Neodiprion lecontei: one gene and its partners. The main gene of each other region encodes a partner of the protein of the gene in region 2 in a complex. Links are inferred from orthologs where the notes say so. Each region holds a gene or a part of one and is shown on either strand. Other genes may lie near its edges.

Region 1 (7,756 bases), about 1.1 Mb from region 2:
AATTGCGTAACAAATGACAGCTACATTTAATGTTCAACCAACTATGTAGCATAAATGGGTGAATACTCTTTGTTATTTGTTGTGAAAAAATGATACGTACATGACTACGGACATTGAAATTGTCAGACCAAAAGAGTGTAGTGTGAAAAAGTGCAAAGCTCATGATTAGCTGTTGACTAGAGCCTGATTCGGCGGTGACTCCAGTGCAGCGAGGATCAGCTGATAGGTAAGCTGCACGTGCAGTTTTTGACTCAATGCCATGCTCGTTACCGAAGTGGTTTAACGCTGGCACAGTAATGGTCCATTTCTTTTTTCTCTACTGAATGACATGATGGCATTAAAGAAACGATAATGTCATTTGCCAGAATTTTACCATTTCTATTGAAACATAGATGAAATGATAGACTTATGTAACCGTCAACACTTTTCATTCGATTATGCTGTCTATTGAAAATACTGGGGATGTTAAATGTTCTGGCAATTTACTCGTTAACTTCAATTTGTGAATTAGAACAGGTCTGGTACTTGTTGCAATGTAGGATTGCCCCGACCTTTCCCCGCGCCAATACCAACAATAAGTTGGGGCTAAAGCCCTCAAATCAGTGATTAAGGAGAAATAATTATATTGGCAATGGTAATGACTAAAGCAATTGAATGACGGGAAACAGTTTGAAACCCCTAAGTTTCACGTTTCTGTAAAATAGCTGCCATTACACGAATGAGGACCATATACTGTTGACTCTGCAATTTCATGAAGTATTGAGACACTCTGCAGTGTTCTGGAAGATATTGCTCTCAAGAGAACTCAGAAAAGAATACATAAAGTGCATGATACTTACCTATCTTTCTTTCTCACGTAGACTAGAGGCATGTAAGGACCGCTAACCTTTATAGGATCAGGGTATGGCAGCGTTGTACAAAAATTTGACTTAACTTACGTTCCTGAGCTGTCTGTCGATATTTTATACACATTTGGATAGCAAAAATAGAAAACCATACTTGAACGTACAAGATCATATAAATTTTCAGTAAAATGCTGACGCTTAAATAGCGTCTCCTATATATCTTATCGAAGTCTATATGAAATTTTCAGCACTGTTATAATTCCATCGAAATGATTCTGTAAGCGGAGAAATTGTGCATTATGTGTGAACTTTTTGGGTGTTCATAGCTGAATACATTATACAAATTTTTTTTACTGTTGTGGCTATATCATAATTTATGTTGATATAGTTATAAATTCATCAATCGATGGTCATATAGTGTACATACATTTACTCCAAGATATATACAGCTCTCAGATAACTAGCCAGTTAATTACTTGGCAATCCAACATACCGTTTGTGTATTTCATTTTTCGTTTATGGATTGGTTTTTTTATTAGCAATTGTCGTGAATTTTTAAATGATCGAAGACCTTTTTATTTTGAATTTAATAAACATTTAACATGTATTACCAAAATTTTATCGCACTTTTTGCGCGTGGACTTGATGCTTGATTGTTCTTAGTTGAAGACGAGCGTTACAGTTTTGCGCCTCGTATACGTTCTCAAACCCACGCACTCCGCGACCAATTGTCCCGATTTGCGTTCCGAAATCTGCGGTATGCGTGCGCAACTTTCCCGCCAACTTAACGCGTGCGCGTGGCTCTCGAAGCATCAGACCTTGCATCAGACTTCGCATGGCGTCATGAAACCGCTGCGAGTTTGTTGATCTTCGGAGTTACTTTGAGGATCGTATTGTTTATCAAAGTTGGAATAAGTGAGTGCCTAGTCATCAAGAGACGAAAAATATTCGAACATCAAGAATTCGTGTAATATGAATCGCTTGGACGATCTCCCAGGCCTAACTAAGGGAAGGAAAACATCTTACATCGGGATGAACGGTAGGTAGATTGAAAAATATGTAAATAAAAATGACAGACGATACGATTTTGACGTTTATTGAAGATAAAAATATCCCGCGACAAGTGATCGTATTAGCAAGGTATTCATCGGTTCGTGATTAAGCGTAAATTCTCACATAGCTATAGATCAAAAAAATTATTACGAATAACATAAACATAGTACCTTTATCGTCTAACCTCATTCGAGTGTTTTTATTTATCTCAGGTGGGCCAGAAACCGATGACCAACAGCGACTTCGCTTTCAGGTTGAGTTGGAATTTGTCCAATGTCTCGCTAATCCAAACTATCTAAATTGTAAGTTTTTAACTTCGTATCTCCATTGTACTTTTCAGCTGTTGACCTTAGGTCATTGACATTACTCCCCAGTTGTAAATATGTATGTTGATGATGGAAAAATTAATGATATACTAAGAATGTGTTAGAAGGAGTTATCGTTAGGTAAATATTTTATTTTAGATCCTCGTTTTATGTTAAACTTGAAGTCATCGTCGATTCAACGGAACTCCTAGTTACATAAATTCAATCGATACTGACGTCATTCTGGAAATACTTTGAATTATTAAATCAATATTCGTTTCATGTTCTTCAACTATTTGCATCAATACGCACCACATATTTCCAAAATTCAAAGTTCATCTTCCTCGTAACTCAAATTGATCCAAGTCGCAAAAGATTCACAATTTAGAACACAGCCAGATCCTTTAGTAAAGGAAAGTTGCCTAACGTGGGCAGGGTTCTTTATTTAGAATGACTTGTTACCTGGGCAATTAAGTAGGTCATGCTATTGTTGATTAGTGCAACTACGCGACACTCAGTGCTGAATATCAGTGCTATGTCAATGATTGTTAGTAAGCAGAACTTCAATGATAATTTAACGTTTTGTCCTGAAATATCTGTCCCACTTTTGATTAGTGTATACCTGTAATTCATATAATGGGCGGGGTTTGTTTTTCATCATCAAAAGTCCGCACTTAAACACCATCGTTCGTTTTGAAAATCATTTATTAATTTTGACAGAAGATACAAATTGTACTGGTAAAATAGAAATCGCCTAGATATTACCAGTCAGATGTTAATTTCGAAAATAAAATGGTTGGGTAGTGGAAAAGTCTCGTTACACCGAAATGTAAGCGAATTTTTTGATCTGAGGAAACGTGTATCGCAAGTGTAGGATATAATAACTACGTAAAACATTCTATGGCAATTTGACGATTTAATTTAAAATTTATCAATTCTTTTTATAAGCGCATTATACAGAAGAAGAGAGTTGTTTGTGAATTTTCCCAGAAGTTTTAGCAAGTTGAAGAGGTGAAATCGATCTGTAATTTCTTGTGATAGAGAAATGAGAACAAGACTATCTACTGAAGTTCTGCCTAGTACTGGCCGACTCTTCAATGGAACTGCTATACCAGTGCCGAAGTTCTCACCTTTCTTCAGGATCCCATATTCAATTGGGCAACTTCCTACACATCATAAAATTGCTATAGAACGTTTTATTTATTTGTAGTAGTTATTTATCACAGGTCTGCTCCTATCATTCCATCTTCAAAAATGGGTAGCGTAGCTTTTCACTGGATTCTGTCTGTCAGCGCTGTATCATAATTCACGTTATGAATTATTTAGTTCTGAAATTCAATCTCTCTGCAAGATTCAATTAATCTGGCACAAAGATTCCAAGTGATTGAGGAGGAAAATCATCTGATAAACTGAAACAATCAAATTATTTTATTCATATCCGTCGGTTGTATAGTTTTCTGAAATTGATGTGGTGTTTTTTTGTAACACCAAAATTTCTACTCCTATTAGAATACTCTTCTCTAGTATTTAAGAAACTAGATTCAAAACGAACAATTCGTGAAAGATGCAGTTTTTGAGAAATTAGCCTTATCACAGAAAATATCTGGAAACTAGAGACTGAGTAGCTGTTGGAATGTGTTGGATGCGAAATTGGACAGTAACGGAACACTGAAAAATATTCATAAAGGATTAGCGGAGACAACAGACTTGAAGACATCTACTTTCAAGATGTATAAACCCTTCGCTGTATACTTTGATTATAATTCATTACTGTTTTGGCACAGTTCTGGGCCAGCGAGGATATTTCAAAGATTCCACCTTCATCAATTACCTGAAGTATCTACTTTACTGGAAGGAGCCAGAATATGCTAAATACTTGAAGTACCCGATGTGCCTCTATTTTCTGGACTTACTGCAGTATGAGCATTTCCGACGTGAAGTCGTAAACGCTCAGTGCACAAAATTCATCGATGATCAGCAAATATTGCTATGGCAGCATTACACCAGACGCAGAACAAGGTTACTGCAAACAGCAGCAGAGCAAACACAGCCCAATAATGCGCAAAACAACGGTATGGTGCAGCCAAAAGTACCGTAGAGACTGTAAAAAAACTTGTTAATAATCTTAGGTGTTAAAACACATTGTTAATAATATTTAACAACTTCAACTGTACATTTTGTTCCTTTCTTTTCATCCGTATTATTCGTAATGTAATGAATACTTGTTTAAATTTAAATAAAGACTTCTTTTATACTTGTCTCGAGGATTATATCTTCATTCATAATCAGAATTCTACCAATGAACTAGCTAATCAGGCTAGCTTTTGATCAACAGAGAATTTAAGTACTTCCATTGCTCAAGGCTTACATTAAAGAATGCTTAGAAAAAAAAGGTTGCCACACAAATATCAAATTTTATGAGGCTCTTTAGTTCGTCATTTCATAAAACCTTGAATGATTGGCGGTAGCTGAATAGTTTTCCTATGCATTTGTTAAAAAGTGTAATTTCACAAATTTTTCACATCCTTCTAGCTTGACACACGTCCGCTTTATTTCGAACAGTTTTTCAGATGTATATATACACAACAACGTTTTTTCAAAACATGAAACCCTGCTGAATTGTGGAACAGAGTAATAAATTTTGCAAAGTACTTTTGGATTATAAAAAGTACATTTACGCTGAAAATTGTCCACACAAATACTCCACTTCTGCATTAATCTTACACGGTGTAAATATGATGCACTTCGAAAAAAGATACCTATACTACTCGATTACGTGACGATAATTTACCTACAATTATTAAATAGCGCTAAATACTTTGGTATATCTTAGCCTCTATAATTTATTTATCATACGCATATACTGTTGGTATTATTATTATTATTAATATTATTATATTTACAAAACTTATCGTCAACTCAAAATTTATTCCCGCGATCAAAAGTGCGCTTCGTCATTCCGGATTTTCACTCTGTATTCTTTCCGTCAGAAAAATTGACAATAATTCCATTTCCGGCTTCTACCCATGTTTTTCCATCGTTATCGTCGTTAAATAATTTCTCCCGCAGTATGTCACGTTCGTTTTGTTCGTCGAGTACCGTGCGCCGTTTGTTGTTCGTTTTTTTCACCGATCCCTCTTCGGTGCTTCGGACGCGATTTCTCTTAAATAAATCTTCCGATTGCTCAATAGTGTCGGGCAGGCGATTGTTGAGCGTTTCCGGAAGAGCCAGACTCAAGATTCCCGACACAACGCACAGCGTTCCCATTATCGATATCGGTACTGCGGCCCATGTTTTTGTACCCTAAAATAACACGAACCGTACCGTCAACAATTTTCCATTTACTCATCACTATCGATGCAGCGAGACAATTAGCAAAGACTTACCAGTACTGTGAAGTGCGGTGCTATCAAAGTGCCAATCTTGCCAAAAATTTCGCAGTATCCTAAACACGTACCTCGCAAAACTGTCGGAAATAATTCAACCGTGTACAAGTATGTAACTGCAAAGGAACTCACGATTGCTCCTTTTCCTATCAGAATCAGCGTTAATTTTGTCGGTCCTGAAACAGTTTGAACAATTGACTAAATCCCCAGTGAAGTGCAATTTTTTTTGTTCTATCTCTATTTTTCGGTAAAATTTCCGGTTTACAGAACTGATTGATTTACCCGTCCAGGTCGAATTTTCATGCATTGGCATGCTGATAGCAGCGATAACGATGCAAGTAGCTCCGCTCAGTATCAGATAAATACCGAGAGGTATACGCCGTCCACATTTTATCAGCACGAAGTGGGTGAGCGAGTATGCGATCAGGTCCAGACAACCGCCGATTGCAAAGTTTACGTGTCGATCGCCGCTTATGTCTGGCAATTGAAACACGAAACCGCAATGGGACAGAGAAACGCTGAACCTGTAAAATAAGGCACTTCAATTTCTGATTCGTGAAAAAAAAGAAAGTTGTTCTTAGTAAAATGGATGAGAGGGTGATTTATAAGAGAGCAGATATTTTGGCTAACGATTTATTCGGCGTTACGCGTGTAAATTCCGCCAAGTAATCGATCCCTTCTTCTAAACTCAGCTAAACGCAATTCATTCGATGTTGTCACACTCACCATACGAATATCAGAATCATGCAATTCCTCCGAAGCCCTGGCCGTCTTAGTAGTTGTAGGAAGGTCTGGTTATTTGCTACTTCACTTTTGTTTTCAACGTCTTCTTTATTTTTTTCTAACGACTCGTTCGTGTCCTCTTCTTCCTTCTGCGGCACCGCTTCCGCTGTTCTAAGCTCCACTATTTCCTCCGGTATTATTGTCGAGACTTCTTGGTTATCGTCGGAACCATTACTGGATTGAGAGTCCTTGCCATTTGGAGTTAGAGGAGCGGGTGGCGGTGGCGTGGGGTCTCTTTCCTCCATTCCTTCATCCCCAACAGTCATCTCAAACTTCATCTGCATCTCTAAATTTGATGCCCTTCGCTCCAGGCTTTCCGACGGTGTAAGCACATTATTCTCTGTTGAATGAAACAAAGGATTAAAAAATTGTCATTGGTTACCAATACTGATGCGAATGGAAGGGTTTTGTGATTCGAACCTTCTTTGACGTTGACGAATTTACGGCCCACTATTATTCTGCCATCGGAAAGCTCCGGAGTTGTTAAAAGATCTGATGACTCCTCGGTGAGAGAATCGTTCGTTTTAGTTTCGTTCGGGTCAACGTTAGACACCCGAGACTTTCGCTTTGGTTTCACTGGCGTTACGGTCTCGGTGATAGTTGTGGTATTTCCTTCCTCCATTTCGGCCTCCACCTTGACCTCGCGCTTCCTGCAGCAGGTGTTGTATTTTGCGATTTTTTCCAACGCCATGTGAGCCTCCGTCAGGTTTCCTTTGGCCAGCAACCATCGTGGTGACTCTGGTATGATCCTTGAACATATTTTTGAAAAAATTTCCTAATGTAGAACATTTGCTAAAACAACGCACTTAGGGATTTTCTCGATCCTGAATTTGGATCCGAACGTAAGGTCAGAAATAGACGTGTGAATATTCAAGTGACATCACGTCACTTGCAAATTGGGGCTCACAAGTAGGCAAGTAAAAAAAGCAAACCGAGTAACAAAATGAAGACAGCAATAGCACAAGCTGAGACGTATGCACGGCGTTATGGCGATTATCCTACCAGATGTAGAGGACGGTGACCGCCGTGGGAACCGATGTGGCTAACTGAAGGACCCTCCAGTCTGCAACAGCGTAACTGAGCCCTGCCAGAAGCAGGAGCCCTATGGCCCAACCAAATTGCAAGGTCATGCTCACCAAAGTTCTTGATCTGACTGGAAATAGCTCCAAGAGTAATGTGTATGTAGAGATTTGTAGCCCTTGCACAAATACCCCTTGCAGTGCTCGAACAACCAAAAAGGCGCGGTAGTCCTGAAGACAATATAACATTCGAAATTTATTTCGCTATTACTCACTACCATCACTTCCTGTTGCGTACTAAATCATTCAATAGTTACAAAGTGGAAACCTACTATAACAAACGGTTTTATTATAAATGAGTGAAT
Region 2 (7,332 bases):
CAAACGAAAACAACAGAACAACTTACGTTTAACAATTATTTTGCACTACTCTAAATTCTACTTCTTTTGTCACGTTCTTAAATTTTTACACAGTATTTTCCTTGCCTCCAAATCTTCCCAGGTTGGGTGCGTAGCATATGTATGTAGACGTTCCATATTAGTTGCATAAATTGTATGATTGTTGATGAGATTCTTGTGGATCTATGGTCAAATATTGTCAAGTATATGCATAATGCAACAGTGTAGTGATGCAAATATTTGGTGAAAAACATTGGAGAAATGTCCTATATTTTCACTAATTCAACGTATTTACGTAAGATTAATGATCTCATTCAAGACAGTAAACAGTTGTGAGTTTCAAAATTTATATCCTGTTATTTTTTCCAAGAATTGGTTTGTTGTTATACTCATCCGAATATTTAGGCATATTTAATTAACACACCGTAACAAATATATTCATCAAACTCATACCTTCAATGCTTTTTGAAGATTAGCCACATTAACAGGATCGGGAGTCGGTGAGGTAGTTTGTGTTGAACATGCCAATGCAAATGCATTTGCTTGTTCCGCTTCTTCGAGTGTTTGCTTCATTGCAGGTACTTGTCCTTCAGGCTCCACTATATTTGTAGCCATACTGGATAATTCATATATTATTCGTTATAGACGCACACATGAAATTTACGGAAAATCTAGCACTATCCTTTTACATACTCTATCAAATTAGAAAATAAATAGGAGGCTTTAAACTATGATTGAAATTCGAAGAAGTCAAATCGGTACAAAAAAATTTCAGAAATAAGGGAATAAGCACTAAAGTAACGATCTTATGCAAAATGTAACATTAGTCCCTACTTCCAGCCTATTCCGATTTTATTCATAAATATGAATCTATGCTGTACCTAAAATTTGACGTGTTGGTTATGTAGGATGTATTTCTGGTCCATGAACTGGGTACTGGTTCACCTATGTTATGAATAAATGATCCTTCTCGCACCGAGAAACCTTTCCGTCGAGTTATTACGGCTGTGAGTATATTTTTGAGAAATACCTGTAAGTATGAGAATTGGGTTGTTATTTTTCACTCACATCATGGGTAAAACCGACTGAAGAATAGAATAAACAATGTACTTTCCCGAATCCAGAACATTGCACAATCTGATTACTTCAGTATAGCAAAATACTCGTAGCTATAGCATATTCGTACCTGAGTAGCAGCTATAATTATTTGAGCTGTATTTTCTTCAGCTCCATCCATATTATTCTCCCATGCAGCAAGCATTAGTCTAGCTAAAACGAAGGTACGATCTGGCAGCAAAAGCTCTTGCGCGCTGGAATGATTGGCACCTATAGGTTCGTCTCCAACCAGCGACGAACTTTGGCCCAAGACTTCAACGTAGACATCTGCAGGCTGAAATATGCAGCTTTTATATTCTTAACATAAATTTTCTCAGGTTGTATTTGCTTTTTTTTCATACAAAAATATCTGCTTTCAAATATTTGACACAGCCTTATGGCCACTTTATACATATTTCCAGAGACCAATAATGAATGAATACTTCTATATGTTAGCAATAAAATATCAAATTCCTAACAGATACCCATTTAACACTATAGTGCCTGCTATCGCACATTCACTAATTTGGCAAAATGGCAATTTTTATTTATGAGTTCATGAATTTTAATCAAACATTTTGGAAGAGAGTTACAGGCTCTCTGGTATCCTAAGGTCTTGAAATCATAAGTTCATCGACAGGTAATTAATGGCAAAAATGTTTAAAACTAAATTTTTACAAAATTTTAACTGAAATATGTATAGCAGTTTTAAAAAATAATATTCTTCAACTGAATCCGAGTACTGGCACTATATGGTTAATCACGGATTTTTTAATATTATTCCAAAACAGCTTCTTACTTCAAAATTTGATTTGTCTGTTTTATATTTTCGTTTCAATCGCAGCCTTTTCTCTAGCATTTTTTCTTTATCAAGATGAGCATTTGTATGATTGTGTTTGTTAGTTCGGACTGTTGTCACAGACGCTAACCCCTGTACTTTGTTGAACAAGCAGAGTAGAAATTCATTGTGCAAATGGACTTGATCCTCAGTCATAATGTTGCGCGCCTCGCAGTCAAATTCTTCTTTAGTTGTCTGAGAAAATCAAATAAGTGTATGATTAAAAAAAAAAAAGTAGCAAAACGATTCTTGGATATCAAGACTCAGGTAAGATATTGGTGTACCTTCATCTGAAACCACAGCTTCATTTTTTCAAAGTACCTGTAACCACAATATGATAATTAAGTATGTGTACACCCAAAGTCCATTGCGATTCCAAGGAAATCAGTAAAGGGTGAATTCAAAGTGACAGATCAGAAAGGTTTTTAACCGCTGTATTAGTATAATCAGTTATTACAGTATCATACCAAGATCAGGTTGTCGCAATATTTACAAAAGGTAATTGAGCTCAAATTGTATACACACATTGCACACATAATGTTGAGTGACATAAAAACAAACTTACAGTTTTGCGTTATCACCTAGCGATGCGACAAGGCTTTTTCTTGCTACGGTCAACTCTTTCGACGATGTCATACCGCAATCGAACCGTTCGAATTTATTTTGTGACAATAAACAGACATCTATTTGCACGCGACTCTTACATTGACATTTCGACACCTAACAACATAAGCGAACTCACTAACACGATCGTATAAAGTTGTTATATTGTTCCTCTTACATCGTGACATTGTTGCGTGCAAACGAGAAAGCAATTTTGTGCAGATTTGTGAACGTTGAGTGCGTCAGATGCGCGCGCATCAAAGTTTAATAAATTTCAATCACAAGGTTGGCGACAATGATTGTTGACAATTTGTTGGGAACAGGGAAAATTGACTGTATGCAGGCTGCAGTGACTTAACCTCGCAAAGAGACCAAATACGACGATCGGACAATGACAATTTACCCCATTCTGTAGCGACAAATCCATTAACATACCGCAGTAGAAAGTATAATTAAATACTCTGCCAAAATGGCAAGTCAAATAAGTACAGCGATGGACAGCTTAAATGCTGCTGTAAAGTCGAATATAATACCAAACCAAGAATACCTTCTGCAAGGTTCGGTTATGGACAGTGCGGTGGAAGTCTTATTGCAAAGATTGAGAGGATTGTGCGATAACGTTGATAGTAGGCCGGAGACTTTTCGTGATCATGAAATGTGTTTCAGTATCAGGAGGTAAATCTCATTCTCTTTTTGCTGGTATACATTGTCGTTATTCACCCAGAGTGCTTAGTACTTCACATTGTTTGCATATTTTCTAGGTTTCAGATGCGGCTTTAAAATTGTAACTTGCCTATTGTGACAATTTATATTTCACGATAATAATATAATGAGCCATTATTTTCTTCCAGCAAAATTTAAAAATTTACTTTGTGTTTTAAAAAAGAAGAGCATTTCAAATATAAATTTTAACCTTTCAGAGGTCCTCCGCCAGAACAACCATTGTCGCTGAGGGTGAGAAGAGCCTTAGATCATCAGGATATGCCTTGGCAGCTACGTTACATCGGACAACCCGAGCTAGGTGACAAGTCTAGACCGACAATAGTGCGAAGCAGTATAGACATTGCAACAAGCAGTACAGTTGTTGAATTCCTCACAGAATTGGGATGTAGAATAGATTTTGAGTATATTGTACAGGGATACATGTTCCGAAAGGGTAGAATGAAAGTAACTGTAGCAAAAATATTTAAAATGGTTCAAGTGAAAATACCGGATAATGTAGAACCCATATCTCAAAGCTACTTGGTCGAATTGAGCGTGCTTGCTCCACGTGGACAAGATGCAATAGCTGAAGACATGAGAATATTCGCCGAACAGTTAAGACCTTTAGTTCAGCTTGAAAAAATTGATTATAAACGACTGAGTCATTAGGGGGTTTAGAATCAGTGTCCATAAATGAATCACTGATGAATAGTTCCTAATATACAATTGGGTACAATGTTGTCTTTTCAGATTTCAGTGTGCGAGAACTATATAGCAGAAATGATAATACATCGTAGTTCTCTTATTGCGAATTTTCAAGAGGAATCTTTATGCAAGTATTATTTCAATATTTCCTACTGCAATGACCCATAGAGATTTTTTATATTGTACTATTGGATATTTACATTTGAATCAGATCCATAAAATTAGAATGAATTTGTAAAGTATTGAACAAAGTCCAATAAAGATCCGACATCGATGCTACAATTAGTCATGTTATGATACAGAAACTACTAATTTTTAACTCTTCGAATGAAGTAAAGTATTTTAAAATAATGAATAAGTACTCGCAACTGAAATTGAACTCAATCTCATTTTTAAATCTCCAACACCTACCGAACTCAATAAATATGAACTCTTGTGATTATTGCAAAAGTGTGATGAGCATGATAAAAGGGATACTAGAAGATACGTGATTTCCTGATAATCTGTTATGATTGTCAAACACCTGCAGCATGTAATTTGAGGGATGGTTGAAAGTTTGTACTATGTCTATGATAAGGCAGGACTATACCAATCATTTGCTCAGGGATGTAGGACTAATGGATGCAGTATGAGATTGGCTGGGCAGCAAAATAACAATGTGAAGAGAGATAATGAGTGTAAGGGTCACTAATTGTAAGCCACATTGGATCGTACCTTTCAACCGGAATTTTAAGGATTAGGTAATGGTACTTGATATCCTTTTAATATTGACTAACCATTTCCTCCCAGTTAGGAAGGCAGAGTGAAAAAAGTACTATGAGGTAGTCTAGCAATTTGTAAATGCTGGAAGGTAAATAAAAAAATTAGTTAGTATTAAATCGTTTAGTAAATAATCCTTAATGGTTAAAGAAAAGAACCGATGCAAAATTCTCGGGCCATTTTAACTAGATTAACTGGGAATGGAGAGTCGAGAGTTGCGTTATTGAAAATGAATCCGTGGATATTGATAACTCAAATGGCTTCGCGTTGTCGATCAGGTAACGATTATGCACCCACATCAATGTTTCGAGTATCAATGTTTTTGATTGATGGGTTTTAAAGTCGATATATCGATAATCGATGGAAAATATTGGACTATCGACATCATTATGTCAGGAATAAATTGAATTTCTGTGCCAACATCTGTCGGTAACTCATCTATAGAACTTTTCTATTAAATTTCTCACTGTTAATTAGAATGTTTCAATAATTTAATTTTATCCAATGTAATTTATATTTAGTTCTCATATTTTATTTTTATTTTGAATAATAATGATAATTCAAAACTTGAAATTTCTGCGTTCATTATTCTGTCTACAATTGTATCTAAAATTTTTGAATTTTTCGCGCTTTTATTCGTCACCGATGATAACAATCGATGTTCCGATGTTTTTAAAAGAACATCGATAGTAGACTGGTAGTAGAATTAAAACAATCGACAATAGGATGTCGCTATTTTATACTAACATCGCCCATCCCTCTGAACTCGTATCGTGTATACAGCAAACTCGGACGTAAATTGTGGATCGAAAATGCGGATGAATAATGGGACGCGATCCATTTTTTCATCCGCGTTTTCGATCCACGATTTACGTCCAAGTTTGCTGTATACGCGATACGAGTTCTGGTAACTTTTTTTCGGTCCGAGAAATCGGTCCGATTTCTAGCACTGTGTAAACACGTCTTTACTGAACTATAAGGAGACAACTCCACGTAAACAAATTCCTGCCTGAAATAAACTGGCACTGGTGTTCTGTAAACACCGAAGACAGTGAAGGGAGTATAACTTTCTATGAATTACATTTCAAGATCGCCGATCGATTAGTGGATCTTGGGCATCCCTGCAACCAATCACGCATAGGTGTAAAAGGAACACTGACGACGCTTATAGTGAAATTTAGTGGGCAGATTTTGTACCAACAACTATCCAGTACTGATCTTTGAAAAAAATTATTATATATCAATGTGGCTATTACCACCGGTATGTCGCAAATATGTTTCTGCTTGCGGAACTATGCGAAAAATCTGAGAAACATCAGAAACTCGCATCTCGATTCATATTCTATATTACAAGAAGGTTAATATATAAAACTCATTCTTCATAAAGTTCAACCCCGTTTATTTCCTCAGTTACAATTACTCTGGAAGAAACGATTCTACCATTCAGCAGACCTCAGGGTCGACTTTCTAGGAATAACAATTTTACACTCAAAAGTGTTTTCTTGAACGTTAAAAGTAATAACAATTGTTATTAATTTAAACTATTTTTTCCCTTTGATACTCATTCTTCTGACCGTCCATTCTCTGCGTAGGGAATTAGAGTATACAAATTTTTTGCTCAAAAAAGTAAGGCTACTTCCTTTAGGTTTTTTTTATAAAAGTTCGATGATTTCGGATGATGCTAGAATCAATTCTCTGATCTATTATATCAACATAATTTTTCCAGATGATTCGATTACGCTCAGTCTCAACTCGCTGCGAACAACGGATTAGAAGGAATGGTCGAACAACATGAAATTTGCACCAGGTTGTTAACAAAACGGCAAAGGCAAATAACGACTTCATAGCGAGAAAGTTTTGTTTCAGTTTAGTTTCGGTTCATTTATTACGCCTTAATCCTAGTATAAGTGTTCGGGTGTCAGTTTATAATATGTGAACAAGTGACCAAATATTATTAAAGTACACGAAAGGAAATACAGAAGAATGATTGAACATTACATAACAAAGCTGACTATTATCTTAGGGTGAAGCAGTACAATACACATTGTCTTAAGTAACATCTGAAGAGTAGTATATGAGATAATGAGTAATGTAGTCTATATGTATACATATATTAGTTACAGCCAACGTAGTGTCGGTAGTGTCGGCTATTTATGCACGGTGAGTAAAACATTTTCATAATATTTAATGGCAATTTTGCAATGGTGGTCGTTGGAGGTGATTAGCGGTGGTCGTAGGTGGACGAGAGTGATGAGGATTTGTGCACTGTGAGTACTTCGTTCGAAGGTATTGATACAAGTAGGATCAGGATCAGGAGTAGGGGTGGTAGTGGGAGTGGGAGTAGGAGTAAAATTAGGAGTAGGATCGGAAGTAGGAGTAGGAATAGGAGAAAGATCGGGAGTAGGAGTAGAAGTAGGAGTAGGGTGGGGTTGGGGGGGTGGGGTAGGGTAGGGCCCTAGCCCAATCGACTTCTGTCGCAAAATTACGTCAAAATAGTGCATGAAAGAATTTATTCCAGCAATTTTCGAAATCGCGAAAATTTTCGCCAAAGATGCAGTGGGGTTAGACTTACTTTTTCTTCATTCTTGGAACCCAAAGTTTTTGGTCTCAGA
Region 3 (7,548 bases), on a different chromosome or scaffold from region 2:
CAGCGAACAAAACAGCAATTTCCGTGGCGGCAAATCTAGATGAAATGGTGCACTCTGATTGGCCTAGCGCTATTGCTTATAATTCAAAAACTATGCGTCGGACAAGCTTCCGGAAAAGAAATTCTCGGTTGGATTTTAACGAGGTATTATGCTGGCTAGTCCGTGGGAGGCAATTTAGGGACACCCTGTATACATACATGCGTGCATACAATACAACATCTATCATCTATATATTATATTATCTGTAAAATTTTGACTTCGTCGAGAATCGATGACAGAGAACTTTATTAAATCTTGATCTCTAGTATCTGCAGGTGTGTGTATACATCGTAAATATACTTGTTTGCTTGGTATTTGCTAAACACTAAAGTACCTTCATATGTATATAGATTATAAATCTGCAGTTCTACCACAGTATAATTGATAAAAATGTCAAGTTCGAATTTGCAGTAACTAGACGCATGGATATTATATGTCAAGGTATAATATAGTAATGTATGTGGTTAATTTGGGTCTAAATCAGTCTACTCTGGTATATACATATATTTAGAAACATCATGCGTAAAGAATAAATACAGTTGAGTGTGATTTTGAGAAAATGATAAGCTATGGATAATATCAAAGAAAATATTATTACATAACACTTAGCATATGGTACAAAATTCTAATATATGACAAACACGGTTGCTCTGATTCATACATATATTGGATGTGTGTACACATATTTATATACTAAGGTGTTTTAAGCAAACACAAAAAATTGATGATCCACCTTCTACCTGTCAACTATGCTGTTTACAGTGTACAATTAAACTTTTCATACTGTAAGGCGCAGTCGAAATTTCAATTGACTGTAACTTTGTTGTTGTAGTTTTTTTTCCCAATCTAATACCATATATAATACACATTACTGTAAAGGAAATTTTTTTAAACATCGCTACACTTTCTATAAAAACCGAACAAAATCATTTGTTGACGAGAAATTGTTCAGATTTTCGATACATCGTGAGTAGTTGAAGGGGAAAAAAAAATATATAGTACGGATTATTTTCTTATAAACCCTATTATATTCGTATTTAGATACCTACCTGTACATGTATACATCTGTATAGAAAGGAATCTGATTCTTCGAGTGTTGAATATTTGTTGAGCAAAGTGCTTTTTGATTATAAGCAGAAACGTGTGGAAATAACAATTATAAATTTTAATGCTGAGAATACATAGCGTGAAGTTTGTTTTTATTACAGCACCCGTATGTGTAGTAATAGTAATAATAGTGCATTATTGTAATGCATATAGTATGTATACCTATATGTATGTACATACCTATGTATACGCGTGTATAACTGGCGAGTGTGTTGTACGTTTGGATTTCTGCAAATTGATCATTCGTAATATACATAACTAAACTGCTGTGAAGTAATTACTAATTAACAAACCACATAGATTTATTATATACGTATAATAAGCCATCTCACAATATTAGATAGATGATAAAGTAAACAATGTATGTGTTGATATGTATCGCGAATATTTGCATGACCCATCGCGCGTCATGTAAATATTGTGCGTATTTAAACGACACGTGTGCAGCGTGGTGGGTGCGTGGCTGAACAGAAGTAATAAATTATATGAAAGTGAAAAACTATGGCCGTGCTCTTCGTATTGCGATGTATATTTACGTTATACTCGAATCAGATACACGTGTACGAAGGAAACCCAAGAGCACATGAACCAAAAAGTGTGCAGATCTTCATTGATCATTAAAGAGACGGTCTATTGTTGTCCAACAACCGTTATACATTTCTAATCATGAATTCGAATCCCATTGTTGATTTTTTATTTCTGTTACGCAGTTTAAACAATGCATGTGTAAGTTTCTCTGAATTTCCTCACAAAGATAATAGAATTTCGAAATTGTAATCCCCCAAGTTACTCGATGGTACGCTGCAATCGCCATGTGTCCTTACCTGGTATACCATTGATCAATATTGCCAATTTGAATGCTTCAGAAATTCAAATTTTACTAATTATTCTATACAAATCTTATTTAGTGTTGAATTGCTTGATGTATACTCCTGCTAAAGACACCATTTAGATTTGTTTTTAAATCGAAGCATACACATTTGTAATAAAACGACATACCCCTATGACTAGTACTTTGTGCCTCGTTGCGCTTATTTATCGTAGTCATGATTATGGTTGATATTTTTACCATTATTAATATTATTCAAGCTGTCCATGAGGAAAACGTAATAACTACGTCGTTTCAATTATAATTATAATATGAGCGTATGTTATGTTATGATATCTAATGTATGTAGCGACGGACGAGGTAACAGGATGTGCTATATAAATATTATTATGTGAGGGTGAAAAAATGACAATTGGGTGCAAAAGATTATTAAATCTCAAAGAGTGTATTTGTTATAACAATGATTTCAATGTGGGTTGTCTGGTTATATCAGAGAGTATAATTAATATTTATGCGCCTATATTATGTAAAGTTTTGTACGATTTGGTGAATATAATAATAATAGATAATGGTTTACTTGTGTACGCCGTAAAAACGGGTTTGATGATAAAATGATAATTGTTTCGTTACAGGTGCAGGGGTGTGGTAAAATTTGGTATAGTCAACGTCTGGGTGAAAGTATAATATTGTGTGGTTAAATTATTCGTTCAAGTACACAAAGAAATCAATGATACGTATAACCATGGTTATACTAATTGGCAGAAAGATATTCGTAACAGTCTCATTTGACTATCATCGTAACATAGTTATTCATTTCTGGATGGCATTTCAAAATTCACCCTGTGAAAAAAAGCAGCCATTTACGTTACACCTGTAACTATTTAATATCAATTCGAGTCTGTCGCAAGGGAGGATGCGACGATATTGACATAAGATATAACGATTTAAAACGAAATTCATGCATATAAACGCGTAAGTAGATACACACAATATATGTAGCCAAAGTTGACCAACAGTGTAAACAATTGTTATGTATATTTTATCACTTGTGTAATTACAAAGCGTATCAACATATATTTAATCTGAAAAACTCTACGGGGAGAACCACTCTATATACGCGTATACAAACGAAGAGAAAGATTAATTGAAATAGTTCTACATAATATAATAATGATAACAAGAACACAAGTAATTTACCATTATTCTAATCAAATTTGCATCAATTGTAATTGGAAACAATTATTATCCCATGATTATATATGATTTAAAAAATAAAAACAAAGTAAATATTGTATTTGAGATTAAATGAACCCTTATGTTTTAGTTTCATCTACATTACTGTGAACTATAACAGCATAATACGGATTTGTAAGATTTTTATATTCTTCCGTATTATTGTCAATGCTCTCTAAAAGTAAAAAAAAAAAAACGATTTATTGTGATATACAAGAGTAAACAGATTTTACATTTTTTGTAATGAATGGTCGCAAAATTAACTTGAAATAAGTGATACCTTCGGGAAAAACTGAGTCCCGGTTTAAAAAACTTTGGATAAGTAAGAGAATTGAAAATTCTACTTTTATGATAGATTATCATGTTGTTTGCACTCAAGAAGAAAATACAAATCAGGAGCTAATAGATACTAACTTTAAATTTGACGCATGAGCGACATCTAGTTCCACGCTGCGACTACTTGAGCATAGATGTCGACACTATCTCGAAAGCACGATCAGCTGTTCTATCCGGAAATTCTAGTGTACAGGTCAGTGATTCGAATGATTCTGACCAAGGTACGTACGTCTAAACGCTGACAGCGGCGGTAAATTGTAATAATTAATCCGATCATCGAAGTTCAAGTCCTCTGTAGAAATGCAAAGAGAAGAAAAACAGTTGGACTCTGCTCTGGAGGCGATCATTCTGCGAGTAAGTGATCTAAAATCTGCAATCGCCGGAATGCTTTACAAACTGGAGCACGAATATGAGACGCTGAACTGGCCAAATTTTCTCGATAACTTCGCTATTATTTCGGGTCATGTAAGTAGTTGGTTGAATTTCAATGATCACTTTCAGCCGAGATAACGAATAACTAATAAATAATAAACAATCGTAAACGTTGTTAATCCGCAGCTGACGAGTCTTTCGAAAATTCTTGGCCACGATAAGGCACCAAATATGAGAAATTTCACGATATTGCCACTGCTCTTGAGTCCGGAAAAGGATGAGGATCTGCTCCGAATGACAGAAGGTAGAATATCAACATTCGCCCACGATTTGGTACCAGACTATTTGAGAACAAAACCGGAGCCGATGGCTGAGCAGAAGATGAATCACCTAGAGCTCAAGGCTTCCAATCTCACTTTCGAAGCATCACAGGTAAATTTATTCATTCTGAGTACAGATGTATGCAAATTCTTTGCTGTTTCGACTTCCTTTGCGCTTTTGTCGATCACTCTGCTCCCCTTGCTCACAGTTCTATTTCACATGAAAAAATATTTGCTGATATTCGTGTAATTAATGAAAACAATTGTGTAATCTGAGAATCTTTCGGAAGCTGCTAGTTCGTAAAATTATCTTGACGAGTTTGTATCGAGAATATAATACATTGACCACAAAAACTACAGAGGTTATTCTATTTCTCTGTTGATATGCAAACTAAACAACAAGTAGGATTCCAATGTAAGCCACTAACCATAGTTGGTCAGAGATTTCATTTTTGTTCCATTCGCTCTAGACCGATGTCACCGATAAAGCAGATTATCAAATCGGTAACGCAAGCTGTGATTGGCAACCTTTTATCAGCTCGATGTCCTCCAAGTAATCGGTCTATCTGGCGATTGGAACTCACCACCAGCAGACGCTAAATCGTCGGTACTAACAGTAACATAATTGACTTTCAGAAACAAGTAGCACAGTACAACAAGGTGGTTAGTCATGTATGGGACATCGCATACAAGGCCCGAGAAGAATGGGAGGGCGAAGCTGGTGCCAGAGCTGCCCAGGTACAAACTAGCAGTTCCGCAGATACTCACACCTTAGTTGCTGCAATTGGCATGGGTAAAGGCCTTAAGGTAATTACTGATCACTCATCACAAACCTATTTCATCCATAGTGGGCACTTATTTATTATCATGTTAGCGATGCCATAGTCACTGATATTTCGCCCTAATAACAATTGTTTTCTTTAGTCTGATTCTGGACCGATGGCTCAGTCCAGAGTGAGTCCAGGACCACCGGGTATAATGGCTGGGAGATCTGGTGGCCAGGCACAAGCTGCTGGGCAAGGACAAATAGGAGGTGCACAGTATAAACATTACTTCTATTGCACGCTTCAAATTACTCTTGGAATTGTTGAATGTAGTTCAAATCCTGATAAAGAAACAGTATTTTGGATAAATAAATTTACCTTGTTTGCTATTGTTTTAAGGATAAATTCCACACTGATTAACAAGAACTGTGTACATTTAATGTTTTGCAGTGGGCCAAATGGGAAAAGCTCCAAGCGCAATCAAGACCAACATTAAAGCAGCTTCACAGATTCATCCATATGGACGCTAGAGGTTTAGTCGGGAGATTTTTGTACGCTTTTCTCAATTGAATGTCATATATATGAGGAAGACTATGAAATCCAGTATTGCATAGTGTTTTTGGTGAAAATATCCTTGTTTCCTATTATAAAAGTTTTATCAATTGACTCAAAGATTGAGGATAGAGTGAAGATGTGAATTGTCTTGAAGCTGATATTTCGTTTACATGGAAAGTTTCAGCCTTCTAGTTCAACAGAATTCAAATATTACAAAATGTATCGTTTCAGTGAGCATCTTTACTTTAATTATTCACGCTGTAGACTGCAGACGATGTACACTGACTCACATGTTACCTAATTAAAAATATAGGTGTACACACAAGTGCGCCAAAAACGTTCAATTTCATCATTTTTAAATATCACCTGCATTTCGCGAAAGTGAAAAAAGATAATACATTAATATTTTACACCGAACTTGTTATTGATGAATAAACTGCTCCATTCAAGGCAAATGAAGTATAATTTTCACGGATACCCGTCTTGTGCGTACAATCAGTTCATTCTAAAATCAACTTTACACTGGGAATTTTAGGAACGATGATAAAAATAAAGATTTTTCAATGACAAAGTGATTGACCAGAATATTATATCTATCTTTATTGACTTGTCAGATGGAAGGAGAATCTAACAGGCTTTATAGTACGATCTTTTATTCAACGCCTTAAGAATAATATATATCCTTTAACCTGAGTTATATCTTAAAATACGATACAAAAACATTTCAAAAAGTATTTACACTTCGATTACTTTTCACCATACGTACATCTACATACGTAACGTACTTGAAAACGACCTTAGTATAGTTCAACAACCATTTTGAATGTGACGCTCAAAATGTCATTCATTATATTCTAGCGTATTGTCGTATGAAAATATAGTCTATTATAAATAAAATTAAGTCACATATTCGTCACCTTTTGATCAACAATTGTCACTAGTTGAAACCCAGACCCATAAGTTGCGTCAATGTTAATTAAATAATTACATCAATGAAAATTTTCGATATAGACAAAATCTTTTAGAAACGTTCCAGGTGAGAAAATTAGAATAGCTTGATATCACTAATAGACAAGATCAGGAAAGCGAAAAAACAAAATTGAGAATAGTGTCAGATCAAATTGTTTCACTTTTTAACATGTGTGATCAATTACCGGAAAATTTCACTGCATAACACATGAAGTCTGAGTTTCATTGTTCGTCAGTCTTGTCGAACTATCATTTGATAAATTGACCACTCAACAACCAGTAAACTATAAAATTATTGAAGAATGTCCTTACCAGTTTTCTTTTTTTTTTATTTATTTTTTTTTTTCTTTAGAACTAAGGACTAAGTAGGGATCGATTTCGCCTAGCGTTAGGCGTGTAAAATCCCCGAGGATCTCCATATACAGGTTCAAACGCTGAGAAAGGTCTTAGCGATGTGTTTGCACTCCCCGGACTTGGAGTGCTAGTAACTTTGTTTCCACTTGGTGAAGTTGGCGTATACGTTTTCTTTATGGGCGGTGGACACTTTTCGGCTATTGAAAAAAAAGAAAAAATTAATTTTTCCATGCAGCACAAGGGTCGCAAAACAAGTATTGTGAACAACTGTAAGTTTAAGTAAATTAAGGCAGAAAAACTAAAACTTTATTGACGTATAAGACTGCCTTACAATACTTAAATCGATTTACAAGCAGCGGTTGAGGTAGTTACCGAAAATGGATTTATTTTTCACTGAGATGTTGATGCTCATCATTTTACTTCCATAGACTGAAAACATAAATGCATTTGAAAAGATGTAGATTAACAAAATAATACATTCGCATGAACTGGCTTGAAAAGTTACTACTTGAAATAAGAATAAAATAGACTCACTGTAGAAAAAGGTTATTACAAGAGCAGTGAAGGTCCCAAATGTATATCTATGATAGTAAGCATAATCCAACCAATGTATGCCACTGACTGGGGCAGCTTGATCATACTGTGACACTCGAACAAGTATCTGAAATTG
Region 4 (9,907 bases), on a different chromosome or scaffold from region 2:
CAGAGCACAGGAAATGATCAAAACAGGTACCATACCAGGGTCGACAGCGTATTCAGATAGATCTCGATTCGCCATCTCTTGTGCTGATCGTTTGCGTATTTGACAAATTCTAACCGTATCTACCCAGCCTATTAGCAGCGTTCTATTATCAGACCACCTTAAGTTGCATCTGTAATGTTCGGGTGAAGCACTGAAATTGAATCACAAGAGTTGAGGGTCGCTGCAACACTTTTTAAATTTGCGAATAATTTTGAGGGAGCTTCAATGATAGCTAATAGGTGTAAAAGTTCAGATTTGACATAGAGATTTCACAGAAGAATGAAATTCATAAAAACCTAAAGTGGCACAATAAGCAAACGCAAGTGAACAAAAAAATTGAAAATAAAAATACTCACTCTATGGATCGAGTCCACTGTATTACTCCTAAGGAACATTTAGCATATAAATCATATATTCTAACCCCAGTATCTGAAGCCCAAGCTACAAATTGACCAGCCCAGGATATGGATCGTACACCACCTTCAGCTTCACATAAAACTGTAGGTTTGATCCGCGATAAAAATGTCTTTTCATATAAAATTAGTTTACTGTCACCTGAAATTTTGCAATGTAGGAACTATCAGCATCAGATATGTTGTCAAACGATTGAGTTGAAAGAAGTTGAAAAACTCAGATAAAAATGAAATGCTGCATTACCCGTTAGGAATCTTCTACCGCTTCCATTTTTGTAGTAATAAGGGTCAAGCGCAATACTTTTGACCAATCTTTCCATGCTCATGTTGTGGTTATTCTCCTTGCTATATAGACCATATATAACAACCTTTCCATCGTCGCTGCAGGATCCAATGAAATCTCCATTCTGATCTATGGATATTTGATTGACGGCAACGGTATGGGCTTGAAGAGTTTTGGATCGTATTCTGTTTCCTTGGTGATCCAATATATGGATCATTCCCCAATGCGAGCCCAGGCAGAGAAACTGAAAGTAGCGGTACGTTAGGACTCTCTGTACCCTAACCTGACCTCGATGCGTACTCGCACATTCTACTGCTTCGTGCGAAACAAAGCGAATGCGAGGAAGATAAATGAGAAGGAATCATCGCTGAGCGGACATGTGAGGAATATGAGGTATGACAGAAGAGGCGTTAATGGCACCTTTGGGTGAACAGCGATGCAGCTCGCGGCATCATTTTGGAGGATACTATCAAGATCATTTCTCATTCGGACGTATTTCAATCGTGGTTCAACCTCTTCCACATCAGAATCTGAATCATCTTGATTATGTTCTTGATCCTGAAAATAGAGGAAAGTAGTTTCAGCTTTAACTTTCAACTCACCACCCTCGATTTCGATACAGTTAATTGGGATTTTGTTTGTCCATAGAATAATAGGAGAAGATCGATTACGTCTACGTAAATCGGGAACGATAATTACATTATTTACACTATTATTCATCTGTGGTTAAAATTTTCAAATAATTTTTTTACGCAGTCACGTAGCAGCAGCAACACGCCAGAGAATCAAAATATTGGTCTTCGCATACATGGATGTGACACATACGAGTTTCGTGTGTACAGCACGCGAAGATGTGTCATTTGAAAAAAAAAAGGCACAGCAGGGATGGAAGGGGGATGACCGCTGATGACAGATCTATGATTACGTGATCCGACAGACGGTAAAAGCTGTTCCAAAATTGTCCCAGGCGATTTAACGTTCTCGACTATGGGTGCGTTTCGAAATTAACTGGCAGCGCTGAAATCTCGCTAGAATAGAGGCAGAGCCATCCACAGACTCGGCAGCAGAAGAGAGATAAAAAATTGTTAACAGCACTGAGAGCTAATATTTGAACGCACCCTATGACGTAGAAGATAAGGGTGTTTCTGCGCAACACTCTCCAAGAACCAATCGTGTGCCTGGACCATATAAAGGCCATCTTGCAGTTCAACCAGTGGCTTCAACCTTAGAGCATGTCACGGATTTAATTAAGCACCTCTTGTGATGTAAGCCCGTATAGCGCACTCACCCCCAACCCCATATGATCTTACGATTCACCGTTTGCAAACCTTTTCCTTGGATTTAATGTCGGTTGAGATTAGAAAAGCAATCACTCGGTTTTTACTGATTTTTAGTCACTTTAGATGCATATTTTACGAATTTACGGAGTATGTTTATAAAACGAAGGCTTATAGGTTTCGCTTGCCGCCCTTTTTTCTACATTTTATAGCGAAAATTTCACTTTTTTCCGTAAGAGGCGCTCAAATCGCATTTAGACAATTCCTCTTACGTTACCTTAAAACTGGGGACAAGTTTTATTGCAGAGTGTTGTCTCCTTCCTACTACTCAGTGGTAAGAATGAAATCGAAAATAAATGGAAGGATGGAAATTTTATTACCTATATTGTACATAAAACATAAATTAGAAGTTATAATTTAAAAATAGGAATAATACTAATAAAAACATTAAAATTAAGTGATTGAATATGAAATGCTGTTCATAATTTTTATTAGGTGACAAACATGAATAATGCACGCAAGTATATGCTGTATGATAATATACTGTTATATGGCTCACGGTCTTACCATAGATTTATAAAGATAGACTGAGCGCTCTTATGAGCCGCTTGAAGCAAACATTTAAAGGACAGAAATATGCCGGGAGTACTCCTTTCCCTCTCTAACGATATTTGTGGCGGGAATCGAGGCGGTAGAGGAGAATGAGGCGAAATTATGCACCTATATCTATAGCTGTTCCACTTCCACTGCTCCGTTGTCTCCCGCCATGACGCCGATTGAAAAGAGAGAGCAGTACTCCCAGTATATCTCTGTCCTTTATGTGTAATTGTCAGTGCCTCTTACAGGAGCGCTTAGTCTATCTTTTTAAGTCTATGAATCTTAGGAGTGGTCGATTCTAGCGGCACAACCAGTTGTCGCTGCGGTCTAGTTACTAGCAACAATAACGTGATAAAAACGCGTGAGTGAGCGAATGCCCATATACATATATGCGAAACCACGGTCAGCCCCCTGACAGACGCTCACGGTCTTACATACAGGCAACGAAGGTAATGGGGGTGGTTCATTTCACGGCCGGTTATGTATCTCACTTTGTGGCCGCCAGGCCAGCGTTGTGATCGAGAGATAGATAATCAACGCGTGCGCAATGCAGCGCCAACGTAATAATAATATTGTTATTGGCACATTTTTATCCCTACCATCCCTACCCCACGTACATCCCTAGATAGCAGCGCTGCGACATGGCTATTTCAAACACTAAAAACCACGGACAGCAAGAGAACCACGCCGCTCTGTAGAAAATTGGCTTCGTTGCCAGACCTGTATGTAAGACCGTGCACACGCTGCTAAAAGTGGTTCGCAAAATGTCCCTCGATTCTGCCGCCAATCTCCACCACTGGTGGCGCTAGTAGTTGTCTAAAAAGCTTGCGTGCGATCAGCGAGCGAGCGAGCGTGTCAAAGGTCTACTAGCGCCACGTAGAGGAACTAAAAAAAGGGGACAAAACGCGTACAATTTTTTAGTATACGAGCAGTGGTGAGTGTCAGGGGCTGTCTGAGACTGTTATTAACAGAAGATGTCAAGATGGCGATGACGTCTCGCAGTTTTCGGTTAACCTAATCACGACAACAAATACGTAATTTTATTATTCAAGAATTGTACATACGGTTTATTCGCGTTAAATGTTGTTAAAATGAATCAATGCATGGCGTCGATTTTTCAGCAATTTTCGAAACGTCGTGTTGACCCGCCTAAGGTACTGTGAAATAGTCTCAACCGATGTATTGATCCTGTCTCAATACGTATGACAGGCTAAAAGTATCACTAATTCGAAACTCGACAGGCTGTATTTACCTTTTGATTAATTATGCGCAATCCTCTATCGACGAGAACAATGGAGACTAAGGTTACAAGCAAGACTAGCAGCCTCAAGGCTCTGCTATTAAGGGCTTGGCGTGAACGTTGGAACGACTTACAATGGGGAATCAATATAAAAACTGTACGTACCGCTGAATTCTGGTAATCAAACGGCTGTGAAAATTTCACATTTGACTTAAATTTCACTTGTTATCAGATTTTACCAAGAGGTGTAAGCGGAGATGTCTACAATTTGGCAGATTGCATTCTGCAGCAGGCTTTAGTGGGCCCCGGACCAAATCAACTGGTGTTATCGTACTTAAAACATTCGCTGAGCTCGCAGGTTTGCCCGTTTCTTTTTCTCCTCAAATTCGAAAGGTGATATTCCAAAAATCTGCTGACAATAATACATCACATTTTTCAGTTAGTGTCTTACGCAGCTGTTCTACAAAGGATAAGCAAATACGGTGCATTTCACAAGCCGCACTGTATCATAAGCCTGTTAGAATTTCTTGAAACAATTCAAGTCGGTATAACCTGTCGAGGAAAGCCGGAGGAAGATTTATTAGCTGCCTCTGTACTTTCAATAGTGCATTGGTTGCTGCTGTGTTATCTCCACGTGCTCAAAATACCCCAAAATAATCCATCACTCACCTATCCCACGGATTTGATCGATAAACCGGCGAGCATTCTGAAACAGATGATTAACTCCGACTTCCTCTGTGCCATGATGTGCCTAGCTAAGCATGATGATAAAGGTAGAACAGATTGAGATTTGATTTTGGGTGTAGAAATATCTGGTACCCTGTAGAAATTAAAACTTTCATTATTGTCTTTTTTCAGAACTTTATATCGAGGTGGTGAAAAAGTGCCAGGACATAGAATCTCTTCAGAAGAATAGTACAGTAAAGTCTGCAGTACCAATTGAGAGCTCGTTGAAACAGCTTTGCAACCTTGATATAGAAACATTGGCTTCGCATTCCAAGAACAACAAAAAGGAGCCGATCACTTATTGCTTGCAACCATTATTCGCTGTTCAAGTCTTGCTTAATCCAAGCACCGAAACCGCAGTTCTGGTCAATCAGCTCCTGATGATACAGAGAATCAAGGGATACTCCAACGCCAAGTTGTATTCGGAAATTATTCGCGCCTGCTTCATGTGTCTGCACGACGTAACCGGAACTTCCAAAGAGTCGCTATGGGGTGCTTTTACGTTTTTGAAAGTACCACACATTTTGAAAGAATTAAACGTAACGACTTTCAGCGGTGAGAGAGCATTTTCTGTATACCGTATTGTTCCGAGTATAAGCTGACCCCAATTCCGAGACAGTATTTCAGGGTGTTTTTCTTAGTTACCCACACATAAAATGGGTCTATGTATAAGACGAGGAGGATGTTGCCAGGTGCTATCAACGACAAAATTCCTTGGCTTATATTCAGAACAATACCGTATAATAATACAGGATTGCATTTTGATGGTAATAATACTCGCATTTCTCTCGATAGGTGAAGAGAAGTTGGAGTACTCCCAAGACATCTTGGACGCCTTTGAATTGCTGCTCCAATTTACTCCTCTGCTTGATATCATGGACACGGCTTGTTCCTGTAATTGCATCGAGTGCCTGCTAAACGAATTACAAAAAGTCAATTTGGTTACTGAGAAACAGGCGAAGCAGCTTAGCAGCCAACGGTAATAATTTTTATAACAGGTTCAAAATGCTCTGCAGGGACAGGGTGCTGTCTTTCGAATAGAGCTTTGGCTTAATATTATGCTGTTATCGTACTTTTCTGCATACTGGTGTTTCTATTACTCTTATTTTCTTTTTTTCTATTCTATGTACTTGCGCTTGTCGGCGTCACCTATTTCTCTACTGCTAAAATTTTATAAGTGGGCCAAAATCCCGTATAATATGAATAAATAAATAAATAAATAAATAAATATACAAATATGTAAATATAAACAACATTCCATGGTTGACGGAATTTTCACTTTATTGTTCTGTATTACAGAGAAGGTGTAACTGCAGCATTACAGAAATTAGAACCATCAGAAACTCCCAAGCCATCAATTCCAAAAGTAATAATTCGCGCGGAACCAACTCTGGCTGGAATTCTGAAGACTCTCAATACAGATTATACGAAAATTCAGGAAGCACTGCTGAGCATGCTGTGCCAGGTACTGACTGGAAAGAGTTTCGAATTAATCTTGGCCGTTGCAACTGTCGAGGGAAAACTGAAAACCTTCGTCTCTAAACTGATAAAGTTCAACGAATGTAGTAAACAAATAAACGATGCTGTGACAGGGAAAATGGCTGCGACAAGAGCAATGCTTTTTGATGTTTCGTTTCTAATGCTCTGCTCTATCGTTCAAACATACGGATCTGAAGTGAGCTTGCTGATACTAAAACATTGAAATCCAAATCCTCTTGATTTTGTCTCAAATTTCTCTCTCCTGTTGGCTATTCAGGTGGTTCTTGAAGAAGACGGTGATTCGTTCTTTGAACAATGGGTCCGAGAGTGTATGGCAGAACGAAACAAGCCCAAATGCCCGCGTCGGATGCTCCAAAACGTTGACGCAGCTCGAGTGGACACGTTACTTGCCCAAATCAATTCCCCGGATCCAGACTTTAAGTCTAGTAACATGAAATGGCACATCGCTTGTCGCTCGGCCATGGGCGCTGTCAAAGAGCTTCTCTGCGCCTGGGAAAGTGGAGCACTCGGAGCTGGCGATGTGAAACGCGCCTTGGACGGCCTGAGAGCAGCGGCCTGCTGCTTGCCGGTATGTGCAGCAGCCTGGCTCTGCGCTCACGTCAGCATAACGCATCAAGATGCGCTCTTGAAGCCCATGAATATGGTTCAACAATTCCTGACTCCTATTTCCAGTGACGAGATGCAGGATAATTTCAAAGAAAGGTAAAATTGCGTCGATTATTCACGTCGACTCAAGGTGATTCGAAATTAAATTATCGCTTCCTAATTGATCAAACTCTTTCAGATCAAGCCTAATGTGCCAAATAATACGTAAAATGCAGTACGACGTTCATCCTCCGACGCAATCCAAGACAAAGGTGCTTTCAATGTCGCACAGGTAATTATGAAAATTTTTTTAGTTATTAACCTAGGTCTTGTTAAATCATTTCATTTTAGTATAATATCGCGGCAGCCGATATCTGAGCAGTTGGAAACTGTGTGGCATGGAATACAGCAAAGGGGTTGGATCAACATCGAAGCTACTCAATCGCTAGAATCTTTGTTGAACACCGGCGGTTCGCTGTGGTTCGTTTCGAATTTGGTCAAAGAAGTAATGAAGTACAGATACCAAGAGGAACTGGATCAGGCAGTGGATTTGACGTTTGCAGTATTTCACTTGGACATTGAAAACTGCACCTTGGACCTGCTGCATCACGTCATACCTCAGTACCTCTACAATAGATCGCAGTGAGAATTTTGTGCCAAATATTTTGCGGCTTTCGATTGCTCAACTACTCCAACAAAAGCGGGAGTAAAATAATTCCAAATTTCAGGAGAGAGGAGCTAGTCGAACCTCAGTCTTCTGTACTGGCGAAGCTGTGCGTTTCGTGTATCTATTCAACCTTGGAGTACAACAACTCGAACCCACCCAGAGGAAACAGTCGTAAGCGTGCAAGGTGCGAATTAGACAGCGAAGAATTAGATGCGATCGGTGTGCCGGCCAACAAAATATTGAGACTGAACGAAACGGGGGACTCGAGTTCGATATTTGACACGAGCTCTCCTCAGGCTCAGGGACAACCTAACGGGCAGAAGTCTATTCGCTTAAGAGAGCCATTGCTTACTGCGCTGAATATGTTGTTCAAAACTTTTACACTACTCGCTGGGAAGGATGGCGAAGTATCACAGCAGACGCATTTCATCCTACAATTTCTACGGTTCATCGTTCAGTGCGGCAAGGACAGGACAAAAATCGTTCTACAAGGAATGCCGCAAACTTTGGTAAGAATAGGTCATACGAAGTGAACCAAGTTTAATTTCCAGAGTTATTTCGTAAACCGAACGATATTCTTCTTTTAGGTTCCATGTTTGCTCAAAGCGCTGCCCGAGTTATTTACGACTGATTTATTACTCAAGTTGTACGATATTCAAACAACAGCAGGACGAAAAGCCACTGCGAGAGATTTATGCATGCTGCGGAACATAAATCTGAAGCCTGTAAAGTAGAATATAAGCACAAAAATGACCTGTACATCCTGTTACGTTTGTAATTATTATTTTTTTTTTTTTTTTAAATTAAGTTTAGTCTCTATCGATCGAAAATAATTACTTTCCTAGTAATTCGATTACAAAGAAATTGATGCCAAAAAAAAATCAATTTTTTTAAAACTTACTTAAAGTACCTATAAAATTCTTTGTTTTCTGTTCCTCCTACAAATTGCTAACTCTACTAAGTTATCTGAGCGAGTGCAGCATCCATTTCGTTCGGTTCCATGTTCCTCATAGAATCAATCATGTCCTGGTGCCTTCTCGATTTCTTAAGTCTCATATGTAGTCTATCGTATATTTTCTGCATTCTGTCATTGTAGCGCGATTCTTCTCTCTCCGCATACTCTCGCATGTACCTGTCATATTCTGCCTGCGATATTTACAAGTGAGAAAAAAAAGTAAGCACCAGCATTTTAGCTTGAACCATAGACTGATGTGAAAAATCAAAGACCTGAGTCATGCACGGCATATTCGTCCACTTTTCTCTACGTTTTTTTAATTCTTCTTCATCTTCTTTGATTTGTTGTTGTAATTCTTTCTCCTCTATGCTCCTGTCTTCTTCCCTATCCTTAAGTTCTTGTCGTTGAATTTTATATTTTATCATGTATTCTTTTTCCAACATACTGGACAGAACTCTGCATTCCTCCCATTCGACAATTTCTGAATAACTCACCCCGCAGCAAGTCGAGCACGAAAATCGTTCCGCAATATTGGGATCAATTTCCTTCTAAATCATGTTACGTATTAAATGAGTTAAAAATTATTCTGAAATAGCAATTCTATAATTTCTCATTAGTTGGCTACCTTGTCTTCACGACAGCAGTATTTACAATTTCCACAACACTCTCTGCAGTATCCGTTGTCATATTTGATAGACAATTTTTCCGCAATATTTTCAGCAATGTAACGACCGCAGACTAAATGAACGAGATTCAGAGCGCACTGAATCGTGTTCGGACCACCTCTGCAGGTAATTATCTTACCTGAAAATTCATAATCCAATTTTAATCAATTTGTTTCCCCTTTTGCTGATACAATTCGTGGATGACAATTTATTATTACCATCCACGTGTACGTCATCGTCGATATATTTGTACTTCATGTATTCGGATCCTTCAATTTTGTATTTTATCAGCGGATGACACGTAAAAGTTCTTCCAGCACCTATATAATGCTTACGCAGCACCGGCACAGCATCTCCTATTGCGACTATCCACTTGTGGCTGTCCTCGAATTCTTTCAGCAGTTTACCAACCAATTCCGACTGCAGCAATTTATTATCTAGTTTACATCATTCAAATCTTACAAAATTTTATGTCTTACCTCTCCAAGCGATTTAGCTCCTAACAAACCGCCAGGTAGAACAACCACGTCGAACGATGGTTCTCTCAAGGCATCAGAAAGCGCTGCGTCTGCATAACAGAATATGTTACTGTTACCCCGTATGCAGTCTGAATCATCCAGACTTGCGATTACAACACTGATCTGGAATCAATAGCCAATTGAAGGTCTGCTATATTTTTAAAGTAAAGAAGTACGACACTTAATTCAGAGTTAGTCTCTCACCCCAGCCCTTCGCATTATATCGGCCATTTGAACTATTTCAGAAATCTGTGCATCTTCAGGCATAATGATCAACGCACGCTTTCCATTATCATTGAAATTGTCCAATTCAAGCTTCTTGTTGTCCGTCGACTCAATCACCTCTACTTCTTCGTCACTTATCATATTGTCGATTTTCAGTTCTTTCAGTTCATTCATTTAAATTATGTGACTGCTCGCTTCTCTGTATTTTTTTTTTTTG

The links.
Region 1: mediator of RNA polymerase II transcription subunit 18 (region 2) and mediator of RNA polymerase II transcription subunit 31 share a complex: the UniProt entries of both Drosophila melanogaster proteins name them as parts of the mediator complex. The link is inferred for Neodiprion lecontei from reciprocal best matches to the Drosophila melanogaster genes MED18 and MED31.
Region 3: mediator of RNA polymerase II transcription subunit 18 (region 2) and mediator of RNA polymerase II transcription subunit 8 share a complex: the UniProt entries of both Drosophila melanogaster proteins name them as parts of the mediator complex. The link is inferred for Neodiprion lecontei from reciprocal best matches to the Drosophila melanogaster genes MED18 and MED8.
Region 4: mediator of RNA polymerase II transcription subunit 18 (region 2) and mediator of RNA polymerase II transcription subunit 24 share a complex: the UniProt entries of both Drosophila melanogaster proteins name them as parts of the mediator complex. The link is inferred for Neodiprion lecontei from reciprocal best matches to the Drosophila melanogaster genes MED18 and MED24.

What each region holds. Positions count from the first base shown.
Region 1 is NC_060262.1:33,291,162-33,298,917, reverse strand, and holds mediator of RNA polymerase II transcription subunit 31, read left to right. Parts: upstream 1-1,654; 5' UTR 1,655-1,817; coding exon 1,818-1,884; intron 1,885-2,110; coding exon 2,111-2,200; intron 2,201-3,987; coding exon 3,988-4,301; 3' UTR 4,302-4,461; downstream 4,462-7,756. Other genes in the region: organic cation transporter protein-like, read right to left, coding at 5,171-5,506, 5,590-5,765, 5,872-6,113, 6,316-6,712, 6,793-7,121, 7,375-7,622. UniProt on the Drosophila melanogaster protein: Component of the Mediator complex, a coactivator involved in the regulated transcription of nearly all RNA polymerase II-dependent genes.
Region 2 is NC_060262.1:34,396,800-34,404,131, forward strand, and holds mediator of RNA polymerase II transcription subunit 18, read left to right. Parts: upstream 1-2,761; 5' UTR 2,762-3,023; coding exon 3,024-3,229; intron 3,230-3,474; coding exon 3,475-3,925; 3' UTR 3,926-5,293; downstream 5,294-7,332. Other genes in the region: transcriptional adapter 1, read right to left, coding at 70-201, 472-634, 900-1,048, 1,205-1,408, 1,913-2,146, 2,236-2,272, 2,517-2,587. UniProt on the Drosophila melanogaster protein: Component of the Mediator complex, a coactivator involved in the regulated transcription of nearly all RNA polymerase II-dependent genes.
Region 3 is NC_060264.1:26,415,074-26,422,621, reverse strand, and holds mediator of RNA polymerase II transcription subunit 8, read left to right. Parts: upstream 1-3,506; 5' UTR 3,507-3,844; coding exon 3,845-4,009; intron 4,010-4,102; coding exon 4,103-4,348; intron 4,349-4,642; coding exon 4,643-4,651; intron 4,652-4,872; coding exon 4,873-5,043; intron 5,044-5,160; coding exon 5,161-5,269; intron 5,270-5,450; coding exon 5,451-5,530; 3' UTR 5,531-5,896; downstream 5,897-7,548. Other genes in the region: nuclear pore membrane glycoprotein 210, read right to left, coding at 6,879-7,075, 7,251-7,307, 7,413-7,539. UniProt on the Drosophila melanogaster protein: Component of the Mediator complex, a coactivator involved in the regulated transcription of nearly all RNA polymerase II-dependent genes.
Region 4 is NC_060263.1:14,885,636-14,895,542, reverse strand, and holds mediator of RNA polymerase II transcription subunit 24, read left to right. Parts: upstream 1-3,525; 5' UTR 3,526-3,643; exon of another isoform or gene 3,644-3,730; 5' UTR 3,731-3,874; coding exon 3,875-4,006; intron 4,007-4,081; coding exon 4,082-4,207; intron 4,208-4,288; coding exon 4,289-4,622; intron 4,623-4,707; coding exon 4,708-5,130; intron 5,131-5,370; coding exon 5,371-5,554; intron 5,555-5,874; coding exon 5,875-6,250; intron 6,251-6,331; coding exon 6,332-6,777; intron 6,778-6,859; coding exon 6,860-6,952; intron 6,953-7,011; coding exon 7,012-7,302; intron 7,303-7,388; coding exon 7,389-7,836; intron 7,837-7,914; coding exon 7,915-8,061; 3' UTR 8,062-8,339; downstream 8,340-9,907. Other genes in the region: vacuolar protein sorting-associated protein 41 homolog, read right to left, coding at 36-190, 396-594, 697-979, 1,156-1,293, 1,435-1,455; Parkinson disease protein 7 homolog, read right to left, coding at 8,483-8,830, 8,908-9,086, 9,166-9,367, 9,427-9,588, 9,670-9,864. UniProt on the Drosophila melanogaster protein: Component of the Mediator complex, a coactivator involved in the regulated transcription of nearly all RNA polymerase II-dependent genes.